Ovis aries: one gene and its partner. The protein of the gene in region 1 interacts with the protein of each later gene in a biochemical or structural test. Links are inferred from orthologs where the notes say so. Each region holds a gene or a part of one and is shown on either strand. Other genes may lie near its edges.

The links.
Region 2: of the proteins of PRMT1 (region 1) and FUS, one has a biochemical effect on the other in vitro, tested with the Homo sapiens proteins (3 studies listed by BioGRID). The link is inferred for Ovis aries from reciprocal best matches to the Homo sapiens genes PRMT1 and FUS.

What each region holds. Positions count from the first base shown.
Region 1 is NC_056067.1:55,807,515-55,817,275, forward strand, and holds the start of PRMT1 (protein arginine N-methyltransferase 1), read left to right. Parts: upstream 1-3,959; 5' UTR 3,960-4,005; coding exon 4,006-4,041; exon of another isoform or gene 4,042-5,053; coding exon of another isoform or gene 5,054-5,068; intron 5,069-5,248; exon of another isoform or gene 5,249-5,379; intron 5,380-6,247; exon of another isoform or gene 6,248-6,249; coding exon 6,250-6,303; exon of another isoform or gene 6,304-6,307; intron 6,308-6,501; exon of another isoform or gene 6,502-6,614; coding exon of another isoform or gene 6,615-6,617; intron 6,618-6,840; coding exon 6,841-6,942; intron 6,943-7,708; coding exon 7,709-7,864; intron 7,865-8,008; coding exon 8,009-8,072; intron 8,073-9,761. UniProt on the Homo sapiens protein: Arginine methyltransferase that methylates (mono and asymmetric dimethylation) the guanidino nitrogens of arginyl residues present in proteins such as ESR1, histone H2, H3 and H4, FMR1, ILF3, HNRNPA1, HNRNPD, NFATC2IP, SUPT5H, TAF15, EWS, HABP4, SERBP1, RBM15, FOXO1, CHTOP, MAP3K5/ASK1, MICU1 and NPRL2.
Region 2 is NC_056077.1:27,786,346-27,795,665, reverse strand, and holds the end of FUS (RNA-binding protein FUS), read right to left. Parts: coding exon 9,251-9,320; intron 7,618-9,250; coding exon 7,583-7,617; intron 6,067-7,582; coding exon 6,034-6,066; intron 5,438-6,033; coding exon 5,334-5,437; intron 4,845-5,333; coding exon 4,715-4,844; intron 4,461-4,714; coding exon 4,359-4,460; intron 4,225-4,358; coding exon 4,101-4,224; intron 3,639-4,100; coding exon 3,538-3,638; intron 3,426-3,537; coding exon 3,278-3,425; intron 2,991-3,277; coding exon 2,951-2,990; 3' UTR 2,787-2,950; downstream 1-2,786. UniProt on the Homo sapiens protein: DNA/RNA-binding protein that plays a role in various cellular processes such as transcription regulation, RNA splicing, RNA transport, DNA repair and damage response. Binds to ssRNA containing the consensus sequence 5'-AGGUAA-3'.

The DNA of each region.
Region 1 (9,761 bases):
GTCTACCAGAGGTTGTCACCTTCTTAGGGCTATCACCCCCTTCACTGAATTATGTTTGTAAACGCTTAAAATGAAAAGTACAGGATTACAAAGGAAGCCAAGTACAGTCAAGCCTCCGTATTCACAGATTCCGTATTTTCAAATTCACCTACTCTTAAACATTTATCTGTAGTCCCCAAACGAGTACTCACGTGCCTTTGCACTCACTGGTAGGCGTGCACGTGCTCAGAGCAGTAAACAGTCGGACCGACCCAGTGGGCACCTTTCAGCTCAGGTCGGGCGAGGCAAGGCTGCCTTCCTGTTGCAGTTCTCACACTGTGTACAAACATCCTTTCCACATTCTATATTCAGTGCCACATTTTTCACGTTTCTGTGCTATTTGTGGTGATTCCACTGTCCCAAAGAGCCCCAAAGCATAGCCGGAAGGTCCTAGCGAGCATTCCTAAGTGAAGGAAGGCTGCCATGAACCACAATTCAATGCAGTCTGTTGTAGATCATTTTTGTTACTGTAGGCTGCAAGACCAATGCGAATAGGCCCACTATACATTAAATAATGTGTCTACAAACAGAAAATACACAGAAAACCTGATTATATTTTGATGGGTTGATGAAAGTGTTGTGACAAGACACCTGTGGCAACCTGACCCGGTATCTCCCCTGGGATCAGGGTGGAACAGGGTGTTCACCAATTCTGTGTTTGTGATGACTTTGTGGGGTGTAACTAGCGCAAATAAGGATCCAGTGTGGAAATAAAGCTTTCAAGATTAATATAAAAATTAGTGGTATAATAATAGACATGCCTCCTCATTAATTAAAAACACCTAGGGTGGGTCTCATAACCATGATTTCTAAGTAGAGCAGGAATGACATTTGGAGATGGATCAGATCATATGCGTTTAGCAGCTCACGAGAACGCATTTATTAATTGCAGTTTCTGTGTGTCAGGGGCATGGGCGCAGCTTCGCCGGGCGCTTGGCTCTTGGTGTGGCTATGCTGCTATCAAGGTCTCAGCTTGTCTCACCTGAGGCTGGGGGCCTCTTGCTAGCGCTTGTTTTAGCAGAGTCATTGCGGCCTCATAGAGACACCCGACTCTTCATTTTGACTCAGGTCTGGTAACCACCTTTCTAATCACATGAACTCCCCCGTGATCTTGTCCATTTCGTGGTCTGCGACCTAATGCAGCACTGGCCAATAGAAATATAACATGAGCCATATGTGTTATTTAGAATATAACAGTAGCCCCATGAAAGCGAAGTAAAAAAGTTAAATTAATTTTAACCATAATTTTTATTTACCACATTTATCCAAAATAGAATCATTTCAGCATGTAATCAATATTAAAAATGCAAATGAAGTATTACAGATTCTTTTTTTACATAAAGTCTTCAGAATCTGGTGTGCATTTTTACAGCCATAGCATATCTCAGCTGACACTTGTCATGGGCCATTACTCAGTAGTCCCATGTGGCTGCCATCTTGGAGAATGAAGAATCTGACACTTGATGGCTCCCCCAGTTTTGCTTCCAGCCCAGACCACCCCCCTGTACTCTCTGTGGTGTGGAATTTGCTCAGTCGTATCCGACTCTTTGCGACCCTATGGACTGTACCCTGCCAGGCTCCTCTGTTATGGAATTCCCCAGACAAGAATACTGGAGTGGGTTGCCATTCCCTTCTCTAGGGGATCTTCCCTATCCAGGGATCAAACCCTGGGTCTCCTGCATTACAAGGAGACCCTTTACCATCTGAGCCACCAGGAAAGCCCCTGTACTCTATACCCAGTGACATTAGTTTATTCCCTAATGTTGTAGAGAGAATGTGTTATAATTTTTCCTTCTTTATAGCAACACAAGAGCAAAAGTAATTGATTGGGTTAATTGGAATTCAGAAGGAAAAAAAAGATAAGACACAAAAACCCTGCTGAAACATTTGGAGAAATAGAAAAGAAAAAAAAAATTCCACACAACATACAATGTAAGGGTCAAGATGTGGGTTCAGATAAAGTCTCTGCTTTTCAACAGACAACATTAAGAAAAGGAAAAGACAGGTCACAGATTGGGAGAAAAATGTAAAGTCAGTATACCTAAAAGAGACCTGTATCTAGACGCTATAAAGAACGTTTACAATTGGTGAATAAGAAAACAACTCTGTTTGCAAAAATACACAAAAGAATTGAGCAGACACTTGACAAAAGAAAATATACAAATAGGGGAACTTCCCAGGTGGTGGAGTGGTTAAGGACCCGCCTTCCACTGCAGGAGGTGTGAGTTCCATCCCTGGTTGGGAATCTTGCAGCAACTACTGAGCCCACATGCTCTGGAACCTGTGCACAATAACTAAAACCCGAAGCAGCCAAATTTAAAAAAAAAAAAAAATTTTTATTTTAAAGAAAGAAAACATGCAAATTGCCGATAAGCACACGAAAACACGAAAAGGTGCTGAACAACATTGGCGGTCAGGGCAATAATGCAAGTCACAACCAGGAGATAATCTCTTCCTACACAGGAGAGTCGTTAAAATTATAGACTGATTTTATTAAGTGCTGGAGGGGATGTGGAGCACCTAGAACTCTCACGCATCACTGATGGAAATGCAAATTGGTAGAATACCATAGGAAACTTTGGGGCAGTTTCTTATCAAGTTAAACATACACCTAGCATAGGACGCGCAAGCATGTCCTCCTAGCTTGACCCAAGAGAACTGAAAGTGTACATCTACAGAAAGGTTGGGACACGATGGTTTATGGCCTCTTTATTCATAACAGCCCTAATCTGGAAACCACCCACATGTCCACCAAGAGGAAAATGTGATCCAGCAATACAATGGAATACTCCTCAGCAATAAAAAGGGCTGGACAATCGTTATATGAGACATGAACGAATCTTGAAAACATTATGCTGAGAAAAACAAGACAGGCACAAAAGAGCACATACTTTTATTGGAAAATTTAGCAGCTGAAAAGATACACTATAGTAACGAAACAGTGATTGCTTCTGGGGTTGGGTGGGAGGGCGGTGTTGAAAGGGTCGTGAAGGAACTTTCTAGGGTGATGGGATACATTCCCCAAGTAGCAGTTACCTTCATTCAACAAGTAACTTTTTCTACAGGTCGAGGGAAGCTACCTGGAGGAGGTGGCGACTGAGTTATGCCGGGACTGACTCATGAAGGCCAGACGAAGGGGGTGGGTGTTCCAGCATGGGTAGGACTTGGCAAAGGCCAAGTGCTTGAGTGGGGTCACTGGGTTTTAAAAACTTGTAACAATTAAGTAGAGGGCTAAAGATTAAACACCTCGACGCCTGAGTCCCATTTCTGACTTGATTCAGGATCACGGATAAGACCTCTTTGAGCCTCTCACTGCTTCAGTTTTCCATCAGGAAAATGGGCACAAGCTCCCTTATTTCCCGTTGGATTCCCTACAAGCTGGGAGAAGCCACAGAGTGAACGGTGAGTGACAGTTTGTTTGAGCCAATCTCTGGAGCCTAAAGCCTGCTTTCCTTTTTCGTGGGCCAATCGTCACGTTCTCCTTGAGGCCAGCAGCTTGGCGGAGGCAGGCCGAAAGCCTCATGACGTCACATTGCTAATAAACCAATAGCAGCTATTAAGAGGCGGGTACTTTTGGTGATAGTTCTATTTCAAGATGTCCGCTTAGCGCAGGGTCCGCCGGGAAGCTTTGAGGCGGTACGGGAGAAGGGGCGGGAACTCCCAGTAGATTCTGCCCAATCGTCAGTCGCGCTTCTTGCGATAGACGGGCAGTCTTTCCCATCCCCGTCGACTTAAGGGGGCGGGGTTCGGCACGCCAGAGTAGGCGGGCACCTCAGCTTTGATGGGTGTCTCCTTCGCCCAATGGCTAAATGGTATTTCCAGACGGGTCACCTCCTCTACCAATGAGATCTCCTGGCGGGGTCGCGGTGGGCGGGCCGTAGACCCTCCGGTATAAGGCGGTCCCGGGGGAGTGCGGAGAAAGGGGGGGGGTCTCGGCGGCCGGAGGAGGAGTAGACGCGGGTGAAGATGGCGGCAGCCGAAGCCGCGAACTGCATCATGGAGGTGAGCGCCAGGAGCGCCACCGGGGGCGGGGGGCGGTTTGGAAGTCGGTGTTTTACGCCTCCGCCGTGGGGAAGGGGCTCTGAGTCGCCGGATTGGGGTTGAAGGCCCCTGGCCGTACGGAGGGGGGCGCCGCGTGCTCCGTATCCGAGGATACCGTTTGAACTGCGGGTTCCCTAGCTTTCGGGGGCCTGAGGCGCCACGCCGAGCCGAGGGCCTACTGCCCCCTCCCACGTGGAGGAGGGCTGGGGGCGCTTCCGGCCTGGCCCCCACGTGGCCGTGGCACGGTGGGTGGGGAGGGGGTGTGCCGTGCCCGCTTGCCCGGCGGGTTCCACGTGCGGGACAAAGGCCCCGCCCCCGGCCAGGGGAGGGGCGCCCCGGGGGGGGGCGGAGAGGAGGCTCCGACCCTCCCTCCGAGGCCCCCTACCCTCCTCCCCGGGGATCGTGACGGGCACCTCGGGGTGGGGACCTCCGTGCAGTAATGAGGCTCTTGGGAGGGGCAGTGTGCCTCGACCCTTAACAAACCCTTTCCTGGGACCAGGGCATCTGCTTAGGCATCGGTCCAGGTTTCGTGCGCTCTTGCGTTGGGATTGGAGGAAGACGAAGAATTGGTTCCCTCTGGGACCCCTCCTACCCTCCAGTTTCCTGTCTCTGGATTCTCCCCCTCTTTGGGAGCTGGGGGGATGGGGCATGCCCCTGTGACCTCCCTCTGGTCTATGGGGGGGCATCGAGCGGAAGATCTTTCCCGATTAGGCGCTGTGCACCCCCTTGTGGCCATTTCTGGGTGTGTGGGAGGGACATCTTTTTCATGGGGCGTGTCTCCAAGCCCCCCTCCCTGTCGAAGCCCTCCCGGGCGAGGGGAGAGAGAATCTGTCCTGGGAAGGGCTGTGAGGTAGTGGAGGCAGCGGATTTACCTCCTTCTGGCCCTTCCTCTCCCTGGGGTATTTGTGAAGATGGGAGTTGACCACCTCCTCCCTGAACCCGTGTTTGAGGGTCCTGAACCTGCTTGCGTGAAATGGTGTCCCGTGAGGTGTGATTCTCTTGCAGTTATGTGGGGCTTGCCATGATGCTGTGTCTCAAGCGCTCTGGGGGCATGTCTGGCGGTGATGTCGGTGGTGTAGAGAAATGGGCCCTCAGGGGAAGTCCCCTCACCCGCCGTCTTTCCGTATCCGCGTCATTCACTGGTTTGGGGAGGATGGAGGTGGGGCTTGGAGCCCAGGGGTTATGTCTGTGATTTCACGCTTCTTGGCGCCTGGAGAGTGCTTGCATCTGGAAGAGCTGTAATCTGTTGGGCCCTCCGTACTCTCACCTCTTAGCTTGTAGCAGTCTCAGGAATGGGAGGTGAGGTTCCAAGATGCATACCTTGGGGGGCAGCCCCAGGGGTCACTCCAGTGACTCCCCCTTGGCTCTCTGCTAGACGAAGGCCTTCTTGGCTGGAGGAAATATCTTCCTCAGAGGTGGATCCAGGACTCGGCCCCTCCCCTGGGGAGTTTCTGGGCCTGAGATGGTGGTTCGAACGGGGAGTAGATGGGCTTGGGGGTCCAGGGTCTGGCCTCCTCCGTGGAACTCTGCCCTCCTGCGCAGAGGGTCATAATCAGGAGATTGGCACTCCCTTGTTTTGTTTGGGACTCCCTGAGTCCCAGGCAGGAGCTAGCAGCCCGCATGCCAGCTCTGGTGGGGGGTGCCCGTGTGCCACACCTCCTTTCTGGAATCCTCTCAGATGAGAGAGTGCTTTGCAGAGGTGACAGATGCCCAGTGGGTACACCCTGCCAGTTCCCTTCCCCCAGCTCGAATGGTACCCCAGGATGAGGCTTTGTGTCAGGAAGTGTCATCTAATCTGGGGAGATTAGATGGTGAGGGGGAGTGACAGCTGGCAGTGCCCTTGTGCCCGGCGGGTGCCAGTTCCTCTGGCCTGGATGGGGGAGGCGTGTGTGCTCAGGTGCCTGGCCCAACAGGGGCAGTGTGGGGGCAGGCCACCATCTCTCCAGCCACAGCTGGGATAGAACCCCCTCCCTGCTCCCCCACATCTCCCCCACCCCTGTTGAAAACAGCCTTGCCTCTTTACTTGTTCCTTCTCCCACCACTGCTCACAAAGGAAAAGCAAAATTGTAGGAAACACCTCCTTCTTGCCCAAGAGCCCGGGTCGCCTGGCCTGGCCCTCCCCTAGCCGCTCCTGGTAGCTAATCCTTTCTCCCTGTTACTCTCTCCTAGAATTTTGTAGCCACCTTGGCTAATGGGATGAGCCTCCAGCCGCCTCTTGAAGAAGTAAATATCCTTTTGTGAGACCCCTTCCCACATACACATTTCCTCACACGTCACGCCCTTTTTAGTGGTCTAACTGATCCCTCTGGCTTCAAACCACTTTACCCTTGGCCCCCGAAACACTTAGTCCAGACTCCGTCCAGGTTTGGGCCCCCACCTGGCCTCTCCCAATACTGTGGCTACTTCCTTAACTCCATTTACAGCCCCCCACCCCACCTTTGTCCTTCCCTGTGTCTGCCCCGCTTCCGCCTTCCTCTCCCCTCCCTTCCCCAGCTGTGGGCTGAGCTAGAGACGGGGGCAGACAGACTGGAGAGATGGTAGGCCTGGCTGAGGTATCGGGGGTGCCCTCCTGGATGGTGCTCTGGGGGTGGGGGGTTCCTGGGCGAGGCAAGACGGCAGGTGGGGGCTGTAGGGTTGCCATGGTACGGTTTGGGGAGTGGTTCTGTATACTCCATGGGGGCGTAGACCTGCCTGGAGGCTTCCGAATCTCTGGGGAGCCCCCAGATGTGACCCCGTTTGCTCCCATTCACCCCCTCCCAGGTCTCCTGTGGCCAGGCAGAAAGCAGCGAGAAGCCCAACGCTGAGGACATGACGTCCAAAGATTACTACTTTGACTCCTATGCTCACTTCGGCATCCACGAGGTGAGTATGGACAGACAGCTCCTGAGGGTGCCGAATCTTCCAGGGGGTCATGTTGGGGAGAGCTGGAGATTCATCTCTGACGCATGCGCACTGCCTTCCCTGGCAGCGGGCCACCCCCTCTGCGCAGGCAGAGCTCACACTCCGGGTCGCCTCGCGCAGCCGTTGCCTGGGAGACGGGGTTAGCCTGGCGCTCTACCAGTCCTCTCCTGGGAGGCCGCGGTGGGAGCGCGCATGTGCATCGCATGTGCATCTGAGACGCATGTGCATCTGAGACGTCAGCCCGAGGTCAGGGCCTACCGGTCTTTGCCGCCCTCTAGTGACCGGCAGCGGCTCGAAAGTCTTCTCCACCCCTTTTGCGTGTGGTGGAGGCTGAGGTCCCAGAAAGCAGCAGGGATGGGGTGGGAAGATTTTTCTCTTTCCTTTTTTAAAATATTGTTATAAAATATGCATAACAAAATTTACCATTTTCACGTGGGCGGTTTAATGGCTTTGGCTTACTGAGGACTTTTTAAAGGCAAGGCTTTACAGGGGGTTAGTCGGCAAGGGTAGAAAATGCCTAAGATGGGATTTTGGTCCATCCAGTCCAATTTCACGTAGGGAAACTGAGGCGTGTGGAAGGGAAATAACTTGTCCTAAGGGGACTAAAGCAGGTTTGAGGACTGAGTGCCAGTCTTCAAGTTGATCAGTGTGTTGGAGGCCAGGACACCCTGGTTTTCAGCAGGGGACGCCAGTCCCCTCATGATCTCTTTGTTCCCACCCCTGCCAGGAAATGCTGAAAGATGAGGTCCGCACCCTCACATACCGCAACTCCATGTTTCACAACCGGCACCTTTTCAAAGACAAGGTGGTGCTGGACGTGGGCTCGGGCACAGGGATCCTCTGCATGTTTGCCGCCAAGGCTGGGGCCCGCAAGGTCATCGGGGTGAGTGTCCTCGGCGGCCGGCCAGGCCTGGGCCTAGGGACGGAAAGGGGGCCCCTTGGGGCTCAGGGATTGGGTGGAGGGGAGTGGGGGTGGAGGGTGGCATTTGGGGGGGGGTCTCACCCTCCCTTCTTCCTGGGCCCCCAGATCGAGTGTTCCAGTATCTCTGATTATGCGGTGAAGATCGTCAAAGCCAACAAGTTAGACCATGGTGAGCCCAGGAAGAGAACGGGGTCTTTGGGGAGGGAGCGGGGGATCCCAGCTTCCCCGGGGCCCCTGGCAAGGGAATGGAGGCCATAGAAGTCAAATTCAGGCGTTCCTCCCCCGGTGGGCTCTGGGCTGCGGACAGCCCAAAAATCCAGCCTTCTCAGAACCTACCTCCTGACAAGCCGTCTTAGAATCTGCATGTCGAAGTCACAAGCTTAGTGCTTCAGTCTTTTATTTAAAAAAACAAAAATTTCAAGAAGCAATCTTGAGTTTTTTCAGTGAGTGATAGAGTCACGTGGTTGGCACATGAGGCCCATAGTAAGAAGTCTGCCACCCGCCTCTCAGCCACTCTTCTCTAAGTGCAGACAGCTCTCTCTCCCAGAGAGGTTCATACCGATGAACAAACGTGTGTGTATGTTTCTGCATTCACATGCTGGTTTTTGACACAGATAATGTTTCATACATGCCCTTTGTGATTTTCACCTGTGTATTATGTAGTTTAACACCTGATAGGATGTTGAGAGGATCTTGCTTTTTGATGACTGCCATCCTCTATTTTCACATACACCAGGTCTGTTAACCAAGTTCCTGGTCATGGGCATTTGAGCTTCCAAGACTTTCATCCCCCACCTGTAATGTCATCATCAATCATATATGAACTAATGTTATCTGTGAGGTCAGTTTGTAAAAGTAGGGTTGCATGGATCAAAAGTGGAAGAAAGTTGGGCAGAAGGTGCCACATTGCCCTTCCCACCTGCAAGGTTTGAGGGGCAGAGGACATGGGAACATGTGGGTTTTTTGATATGAGGGCCCTTGGCATTCTAGAAGCTGAAGGGGTTTTTTTTGAAAAAGAAATTAGTGTAATGAATTCCTAAGTTCCCATCACTGAGCTTTAAATACCTCCTTTTGAAGCAAATTCCGACTATAAATCCTGCCATGTGTGTATCTAATAGATTTTAAAAAATATTTAAAAAAGCATGACCACGGGAATTTCCCGGCAGCCCAGTGGTTAGGACTGCTTTCACTGCTAGGGCCCCACTTCGATCCCCCGTCAGGGAACTAAGATCCCACAAGCTACACAGTGCAGACAGAAAAACAAAACGTGACCGTGGCTGTTAGTGGCAAAATCTCTCTCATTTTTAAAAAAAATTTTACTTTGCTGCGTCAGGTCTTAGTTGCAGCGTGCGGGATCTAGTTCCCTGATGAGGGGTTGAACCCCAGTCCCCTGTCCTGGGAGCATGGACTCTTAGCCACTGGACCACCAGGGAATCCCAAGGCTGACTTCCAGTAGATTTTAGGAAGGGAGCTGCTCTGCCCCGTACAAAACCCTGACCCAGAAGCAGGTCATCTGCAAATGGTTTGGCACCAGGTTCCCCATGAGTGTGCGAGGCGTGACGGGTAAGGGGGTGGCTGCCTTTCCCATTCTGTGTCCTAGAGTGAGGGGCTGTCTGCACCGGGCCCTGGTCCTGCCTGCTAATGGCAAAATCTCAATGTCACCTCATACCTGATTCATGTCAAGTTCTGTTCCTGCCTCAGAAATACCCCTTGATGAATGAATTTTAAAAACTTAAGTTGACAGGGTGTGACTTCAGCTCACAGAGTTCTTTAAAGATGCCCCAACACAGCCCCCAGCCCTTCCTTGAGAAGACAAGGCTGTCCCGGTGGGGTCCCCAGGCCCCCAGGGGAGGCAGGC
Region 2 (9,320 bases), on another chromosome or scaffold:
CTGGGGTCAGGAAATATATATCAGGTTAAGGGGCACTATTGAGGTGGCAACTCATTGGCCTAACCCCTTCCCTTTCTCAAAATACCAAAGACTTTTGAGTACTGGCAGATGTGAATGAGACCTAATTACACCAGTCTCAACAGACAATACCCGGAGTCCCACCTTCAGGAAAACTAGTGTTGTGGGGAGGGAGCCTTATCTTACTTTCTCAGCTAACCTTCCCCTTTCACCATCTTATCTCATTCCCAAGTCTTTCTTCCTAAAATTCAGCATCCTCTTAAGCCAGGCCTACATTCAGGTATGACCTAAATCAAATCCCTATGATTATACAGTGAAAGAAGTGAGAAATAGATTTAAGGGCCTAGATCTGATTGAGTGCCTGATGAACTATGGAATAAGGTTCGTGACAGTGTACAGGAGACAGGGATCAAGGCCATTCCCATGGAAAAGAAATGCAAAAAAGCAAAATGGCTGTCTGGGAAGGCCTTACAAATAGCTGTGAAAAGAAGAGAGGCGAAAAGCAAAGGAGAAAAGGAAAGATATAAGCATCTGAAGGCAGAGTTCCAATGAATAGCAAGAAGAGATAAGAAAGCTTTCTTCAGCGATCAATGCAAAGAAATAGAGGAAAAAAACAGAATGGGAAAGACTAGAGATCTCTTCAAGAAAATCAAAGATACCAAGGGAACATTTCATGCAAAGATGGGCTCAATAAAGGACAGAAATGGTATGGACCTAACAGAAGCAGAAGATATTAAGAGGTGGCAAGGATACACAGAATTGTACAAAAAAGACCTTCACGCCCCGGATAATCATGATGGTGTGATCACTCATCTAGAGCCAGACATCCTGGAATGTGAAGTTAAGTGGGCATCACTACGAACAAAGCTAGTGGAGGTGATAGAATTCCAGTTGAGCTATTTCAAATCCTGAAAGATATGCCAGCAAATTTGGAAAGTTCAGCAGTGGCCACAGGACAGGAAAAGGTCAGTTTTCATTCCAATCCCAAAGAAAGGCAATGCCAAAGAATGCTCAAACTACCGCACAATTGCACTCATCTCACATGCTAGTAAAGTAATGCTCAAAATTCTCCAAGCCAGGCTTCAGCAATGAAGCCGTGAACCGTGAACTTCCAGATGTTCAAGCTGGTTTTAGAAAAGGCAGAGGAACCAGAAATCAAATTGCCAACATCTGCTGGATCATGGAAAGGCATGAGTTCCAAAAAAACATCTATTTCTGCTTTATTGACTATGCCAAAGCCTTTGTCTGTGTGGATCACAATAAATTGTGGAAAATTCTATGATGGGAATACCAGACCACCTGACCTGCCTCTTGAGAAATCTGTATGCAGGTCAGGAAGCAACAGTTAGAATTAGACATGGAACAGACTGGTTCCAAATAGGAAAAGGAGTACGTCGAGGCTGTATATTGTCACCCTGCTTATTTAACTTCTATGCAGAGCACATCAGGAGAAACGCTGGACTGGAAGAAACACAAGCTGGAATCAAGATTGCCAGGGGAAATATCAATAATCTCAGATATGCAGATGACACCACCCTTATGGCAGAAAGTGAAGAGGAAGTAAAAAGCCTCTTGATGAAACAGGAGTGAAAAAGTTGGCCTAAAGCTCAACATTCAGAAAATGATCATGTATGGATTTGAGATAGTCATGTATGGAGCAATGTATGGATGTGAGAGTTGAACTGTGAATAAGGCTGAGCGCTAAAGAATTGATGCTTTTCAACTGTGGTGTTGGAGAAGACTCTTGAGAGTCCCTTGGACTGCAAGGAGATCCAACCAGTCCATTCTGAAAGAGATCAGCCCTGGGATTTCTTTGGAAGGAATGATGCTAAAGCTGAAACTCCAGTACTTTGACCACCTCATTTAAAGAGTTGACTCATTGGAAAAAAGACTGATGCTGGGAGGGATTGGAGGCAGGAGAAGGGGACGACAGAGGATGAGATGGCTGGAAGGCATCACTGACTCAGTGGACATGAGTCTGAGTGAACTCCGGGAGTTGGTGATGGACAGGGAGGCCTGGCGTGCTGCAATTCATGGGATCGTAGAGTCGGACACGACTGAGCGACTGAACTGAACTGAAGCAAATAAGTGGGGTAGGAATTTGTTTCAGAAAGAAACGCCAAGAAATGAAAATCAAGTTGGAAGATGACAAGGACTGCATCCTGGCGTCAAACCATTTCCTGACTGTGAGAGCTACAGAACCCAGGCACTTCGTTTTCCATCTGCAAAAACTTGTGAACAGCCTATCTGCCACTAGGCAGGTGCTCAGTTTGTTTCTCCCCTTCCTGGGAAAAAAAAACCAACTGGTTAACTACATGATCTAATCAGGGTCAATCAAACTTGAGTATCACCCTCAAAGTTTGTTTGAGCCCCACCCTTAGAAAAGTGCCAGAACTCCTTAAAAGGAACAAAACTGCTAAAAATAAGCCCACAAAAATCAGCACATCAATCAACACAGAAGAAAAATTTCCACATGGCTGGACAAAAATGGGGGGCAACACACGATGTTTTTCATTTACCCCTTTCATTCATCTGATTTTGACTGTGAATAGAGAAGTTTAATCTCTACTTTCAAGGATACACTTGACCTTTGCTCCCCTGAACCAAGTATCAAACACTTTATTCCAGTTCCTGCTGAGCGGGAACAAATAAATTTATTCCAGTTCCCACAAGGCAGGTTGGTTGATCTGAATAGAGGAAAAACTCCCCACGTTCTTGACCTGGACATCCACGCTCCAGGAGAGTGAAGAGGGGGTAAAGGAAGAAAATTTAACTAAAATGATGGTTTTTAATGGGAACCAGAGGTATGGTTACAGTTACATAGTCCGACACAAAAAACCCGTGGGTGATCAGGAGGTGGAAGGTTACAAAATAATGAGGGCAGTAACACTGGGTACAGGAAGAAAGCTGCTCCAAGGCCTCGGGAGCCAGGCTAGTACGGCCTCTCCCTGCGATCCTGTCTGTGCTCACCCCTGCAAGAAAGAGCATCCATGAGGTCTGGGTTCCAACCTCTCTACCCATCCACCCCCAAAACCCAACCTGCCCTGCTACCCACCCCGAGAGACAGCTCGTCTCCCTGGGCACGGAGTGCACATGGGCATCCAGACTAGCTCCCCCAGGTAAGTCTCCTTCCCTTGTCTCCTACCCAAGTCTCAGCTTCCCAACCCCGCCCTCAAAATGAAACCACGCTCCCCAAACCCTGCAATCCCATGACCTCTGGTCAACTGCTCTAGTTCCCTTTCAATTTAGTCTTACTTACCTGGAGTCCATCTTGCCAGGGCCGAAACCACCTCTGTCCCCACCACCCCGGCCCCCTCGGAAGCCCCCACGGTCCCCTCCTCGGCCTCGGTAGCCACCCCGATCATAGCCTCCTCTGCCACCACGACGATCATCTCCGTAGTTACCCCCTAGGAAATAAAGAAACATGATTCAACCCTCTATCACATCCCCCAGACCCCTCCTCCCTCCCCCTGTCTAGCCTCCTTGCAGATCCCAACACCAGCTCTGCCTCTTCCTTACCCATATGAGAGCCTCCTGGTCCCCCTCCTGGGCCATCTGGTTTAGGGGCCTTACACTGGTTACATTCATTCCTCCAAGAGAAGTTCATGTTTTCACAGGTACTAAGGAAAAATAAGACAATTAATGTGTGTAGGAGGGGGGTGGAAATGGCCAAGACCTAGAATTATGAAAATTCCAGTGACCCCAGGGATACGTGAGGAAAATGAGGCCTCGGAAAAGCAAAGAGGCCCGTTTCTCAGGAGCAGAGACAAAGACTGCAGGTTACTGAGCCCAGTCTAGATGATTCCCAACCACGCCTATCCCTGACATTAGCAGAACTACAAGCTCTGTCCTAAGGTCAAGGTGGTGCTAGTGGGTAAAGAACCTGCCTGCCAACACAGGAGACATAAGAGGCTTGGGTTTGATCCCCAGGTTGGGAAAACCCCCTGGGGAAGGGAATGGCAATCCACAGTCCTTGGGGTTGCAGAGTCAGACAGGACTGAAGCAACAACTTGGCACATAACTTAACATCAAAGGGCACATGTACAAGAGGGCTGAGAAAAAAATTAAGCAGTTTCACTCACGGATTAGGACACTTCCAGTCCCCTGCTCGCTGCTGTCCTCCGCCACCGCCACCGCCACTGGGGAATCCTCCTCGGCCACCGCCGCCGCTGCCACCACCTCCATAGCCTCCACGGCCCATAGGTCCTAGAACAGAGCGAAGAACAGGTCTGCTCACCTTCCAAGTGTGGTTAACCTGTCTTTCCCACACAAGCCCTTACCATCCTCCTTCCCTCTTCTCTCCCCATCACTTCTTTACAGCAACACAAAGAGCTCCTTACCTCCTCGCCCTCGGCCTCCACGACCATTGCCACCACCCCGATTGAAGTCTGCTCGCCGAGTAGCAAATGAGACCTTGATAGGATTCCCAGAGAATTCTTTACCTATAAGAAATAAAGGAGGTATAAAAGAGACTTCTAATTAAGACCTATGACCTGTGGGTCCCAAAGTATACCTGGTACAATCAAGAGAAGACTCTGCCTTCTTACAAATGTTTACAATCTCACGAAACATAACCAAATATAAGACTACACCAACAGGGTAGTGCTGTTAAGTCTTGGAAGACTCAAAGAAACCCTCAAAATGCAGCCTGTTTCCCCAAGCTAGCTGCCCTCTCCCCCAGCCTCCTCAGACATACCATCAAACCAGTCAATAGCTGCTTTGGCGGAAGGTGGATCATCAAATGATACGGTGGCCTCTCCCTTCAGCTTGCCTGTTTCCCTGTCTGTGTACAGATTAATCATGGGCTGTCCTGTTTTCTTATTTGTCTGAAGAAAGCAACATGAGATCACATCAGTCTATCAGAGAATACAGCACTATCAAAACCATACCTTCCTATTTCATACATAACTTGAAAGAAAGCCATCGACTGTTAACTGCTTCTCCCTTCAATATTAAATGACAAAGATTATAGACTACAATTCAAAAGTTTTAATCATCTTTTTAATCAATTGTACCTTTTTGTGTTAAAATGATTCCCTTTGGAATGGCAACAGTTAATGCTTTTTCCTCAACAAATGAAGCAGGCAACCATTAAGATTTCTATTTTCACTAAGGTATGAAATCCCAAAGCCTGCAGCACTAATAGAATGTATCCACTCTGCCCCAGAAGTACCTTTCGGGGCTGGGGGGGACATAGCCACTCTTTATTGGGGCCGGGGGGATCTTAGTTCCCCAATGAGGAATCAAACCCGTGCCCTTGCAGTAGATGCGAGGAGTCCTAGCCACTGGCCTGCCAGAGAAGTTCCCATAAGTACCTTAATGATACCAATCTGCTTGAAGTAATCAGCTACAGACTCAATTGTAACATTCTCGCCCAGCCCTTGCACGAAGATGGTGTTGTTGTCTGAATTATCCTGTTCTGCTTGCCCAACACAGCAGGAAACATGGAGACAGAAAACAACCAGAGATAAAATAAGTCAGTGACACTTAGTAACCTGAACTTTGATACTTGATAGTTAGCTTTCCAAGAAAGAAAATTTCTAAACCAATTAATATAAAGCACTGGTGCTGTAGGTCCGACAAATCTCCAACTCTACTTCATTATGAGTGCCTGTATGCTAGCCGCTTCACCAATTAAAATTTAGGTTTACAACTACCCCTTAAAATATGTTGAAATTCGTAAAAGAATCCAGGGCTCAGGATTTAACTGCCCAAGACCACACCAGTGTTTGTCAACTTTCAGTTGAAGACCCCCAAAGAAACTAATTTTACACTAAAACGCAGCATTCCCACCAGGGAAGCCCTATACAAACATCATCAAAACAACACATACACTAAGTGCGTCCCTGTGTCTTTCTTGTTAAATACACTATTCAACACAGCTACTCCTAACTAAACGCTCTTCCCCGCTCTTCTCTAGCCCCGCTCTTCTTCAGATTCCCTTAAGTTTGAACAACATCCAAGGAAAGTCCTGCTACCACTTTTGCCTTTCTTTCCTGCCACCTGCGGACTTACCAGAGTCATGACGTGATCCTTGGTCCCGAGGGCCTTAAATGACATAGAAGAAAAAACAAAAACAAAAAAACAAAAAAACAAGGAAAGAGGAGCCGTTAGTTAAGAGGCTGAGAAAGACAAGCAAAATAATTAACACCAAATCCAAACTTTTGCAAAATATCAGGTAAGTGCTCACAGCCAGCCTCACTCCAAACCCTGTTCTGGGTCGCCTGCCCAGAGAAAACCCTAGGCAGGTCTGGGAAAGACACAGGCCCCTTTTCTTAAGGTCTGCATGTAACTTGAGTCCCCACAGGGACAACTCCACACTTCAGAAAATGCTGCCTCCCCCAGCTCAGGCTGGGAAATGTCCTCAGCACAGACTGGGAGGGCCAGGAGGGAGACCCATTGAAGTTAACAAACCAACTCATAGCTTGGCCCTCTTCTCTCGCCCCAGAGAGAAATGGGCTCACCACCAGCAATGTGATATGCATTCATACAGTTTCTCCAAACTTTAGCACCAAAGACACTTATCCCTTGTAGAACAATTTTTAATGTCATCTTTCGAAACCAGTCTTAAAACCATGTTGTTTCCCCAAAAACCACATGAAAATAAAAACCATACAAAATAGCTATTGTATGTTTTAAGCATGTCCCAGGGAACAGACCAGAAATCTTATTTCCATAATGCAGCCTCTATTTTTTTTTTTCCAGAGACCATCTTCGCCCAAAGTTTATCTGAATTCACCATATATAAATGTTGTACCCACACTCAATGACACACCTAAATCATGAACCCAAGCCTTTGGCTTTACATGTTGAGACAAATCAAGAAACCCTTTGTTAGTTAACCAGACCAGAAAAGTTCCAGCTTACTGGGAGACTTCTCCAATTTGCCATTTTTCCATGAATTCAGTTTGTGCTGTTATTAAGACCTGATTATTTCCCATGAGCCACACATGCTCCCAACCTTTCTTGGAAGCAGTTCACACCTTCCTGCCCAGAGCTAGTTGCTATTTAGCCCATCTGAGTTGAGTTTAAATACGTGTATGTAGGATTGCATTGACACCATTCAGTATTTAATACATAAATATATACCAACGTCACCATCCTCAGGGCAGGGCAATACTTCATCCCTCGTCCAGAATTAAAATGTTTGGAGGTTGTCACACACACACACACACACACACACACACAAGCCTCGGACACACTGATCAAAGGATCGATCCTAAAGCCAAGTTGGCACCACATGCTCCAGCACACTCTCCAGTTTCTCGCAACGGTGGTCACTAACTGCCGGGTGTGGCGACACTCGTCAAGAGGCCTCCTAAACACCGCTTATTAACCTGGGTCAAACCAATTTGGTACCAGACGACTGCTGAGTCTTACTCCCTGCCTGCCTCCAGGTTAGCACACATCTGGCAGCAGGTGGCATTCCACCCCACCCCTTTCTGGAGGTGGATATGGACACTCCAAAACTTTTGACACTTAAAACACGCTAAGACAACTGCAAATGAACAATCAGACAAAGCATTGCTGGGAGTTGGGAATTTTGGAAACTCTGTTCACTTACCACCAAATTTATTGAAGCCACCACGGTCACTTCCGCTGGAGAAGACAAGTTAGAAGAAAGGACATGAAGCTTCCAACGGCTACAAAAGGGCGGTTTTTGGTTTTGTTCAACATTCCCCAAACATAGGTAGGTGTTTTGGGAAAATGATAATGCAAGTGGCTACTAAAATACATTCCCCTTCCTGACCAACCCTTGTCTGACCTGTGAGCATGTCACACACACGTGTGCAATTTCTCAGACACAATTGTTAAGGATTTTGCTTAAAAGGTTATATATCTATTTCCTCTAGGAAAAAAAAAAAAATGACCCATTTTCCTTGGCCGTTCTTCCGACGTAGCAGATGTTTTTCCTCTTGTCGCAAGCAGTTGCCAACCCAGTAGTTGGTTTAAAAAACCCTACCCCCAGTTTACCCAGAAGACACTTCACACCAGGCTGGGGTAGCCCTGAACACATTTTTGTGATTTTTTTTTTTTTTTTGCTTTGAAAGCAGCAAGCAGACCCAACCCCTTTCCATAAAAAGTCAAAACCAAAGGCAATTTCCCCTTAAAGCGAGACAAAACTTAGCTAAGCCCTTCCCTAACTACTGAGCTGGTTTTGATCTCTCCCCACCCCCGGGGTCACCCCTTCTACACTGCGAGAAGAGCGGAGTATTTTGCAATGTCACCTTTCATACCTGTGGCACATAAAATGCAGAGCAAGTTAACAGTCACATAACAGTTGCTTTTCTTTTTTTAAAGTTTTGCATTATAAACACACGCACACAAGAGTTTTCCTTATTTCTGTAAGGTTTATGGCACTGCCCCCACCCCCCCTCTGAATACTTACCATACACAAACTCTTTTTTAAAAACTTACTTTTTCCCCAAAAGGAGTAACACACTGACATTCCTCCCCTTCTCAAGAGAGACAGAGAAGGGTGCCTCCAATCGTTATTTACCAACAGACTTGACAAATGTTCTAACATCAAATCTAAGGTTTTACTTCAGCTTCAGCAGGAAGGGGAGGAAAGACGGTCCAGCTGGACAAGTAACCGGAGGAAGGGGGACAGTGGAGCAAGTGGGTGGGAGACCACTGTCGAGTGTACTGTACTTTGTCCAAAAGGTCTGCACACTTCAGAGAGCCCCATGAACCAAGTCACACACAAAATCATTACAGTCCGTCAGATTAGTACAAGTCAAGTTCGTGGATTCAAGTGACTAGAGAATACAGGAAGAGAAAGTAGCCAATTCCTGGAAGCTCAAGTCAGGTTAACCATTGACAGCTCCTTTAGCGGACACATGGGAATACAAGTAACAAGTTTCCCTGTCACCAGGAGTGGGATCATCGGTTTCCCTTGCAGAGAAAGAAGCCTTTACTTCCATGTTTCTTGCCTAGGATATCAATGACTCCAATCCACATACACCCCTACATTTCTTTTTCTTTAGAGATGAAAGTTGTCAGTACTCAAATCTCTGTACAGAAGTGTGGGTAGAAGTTCAGGCTCCCAAGTTCTCACAAAAATAAAACGGGGATGGATGTACGAAAAAGAAACAGTCAAGACCCCAACTCAAAGCCCTTACAAATTCCCAGATCAGACTAACCATGCACTACAGGACTAGGCGTCAAGGGAGACTCATGCAACCCTCCTCCCGTCCCACTGATGGTACTCCCTGGCTCACAAGACACCTACCCCATGCCGCCTCTGCCTCCACGGCCACCTCCACGACCTCTGGGTTCATAGCCACCACTGCTGCGGTTGT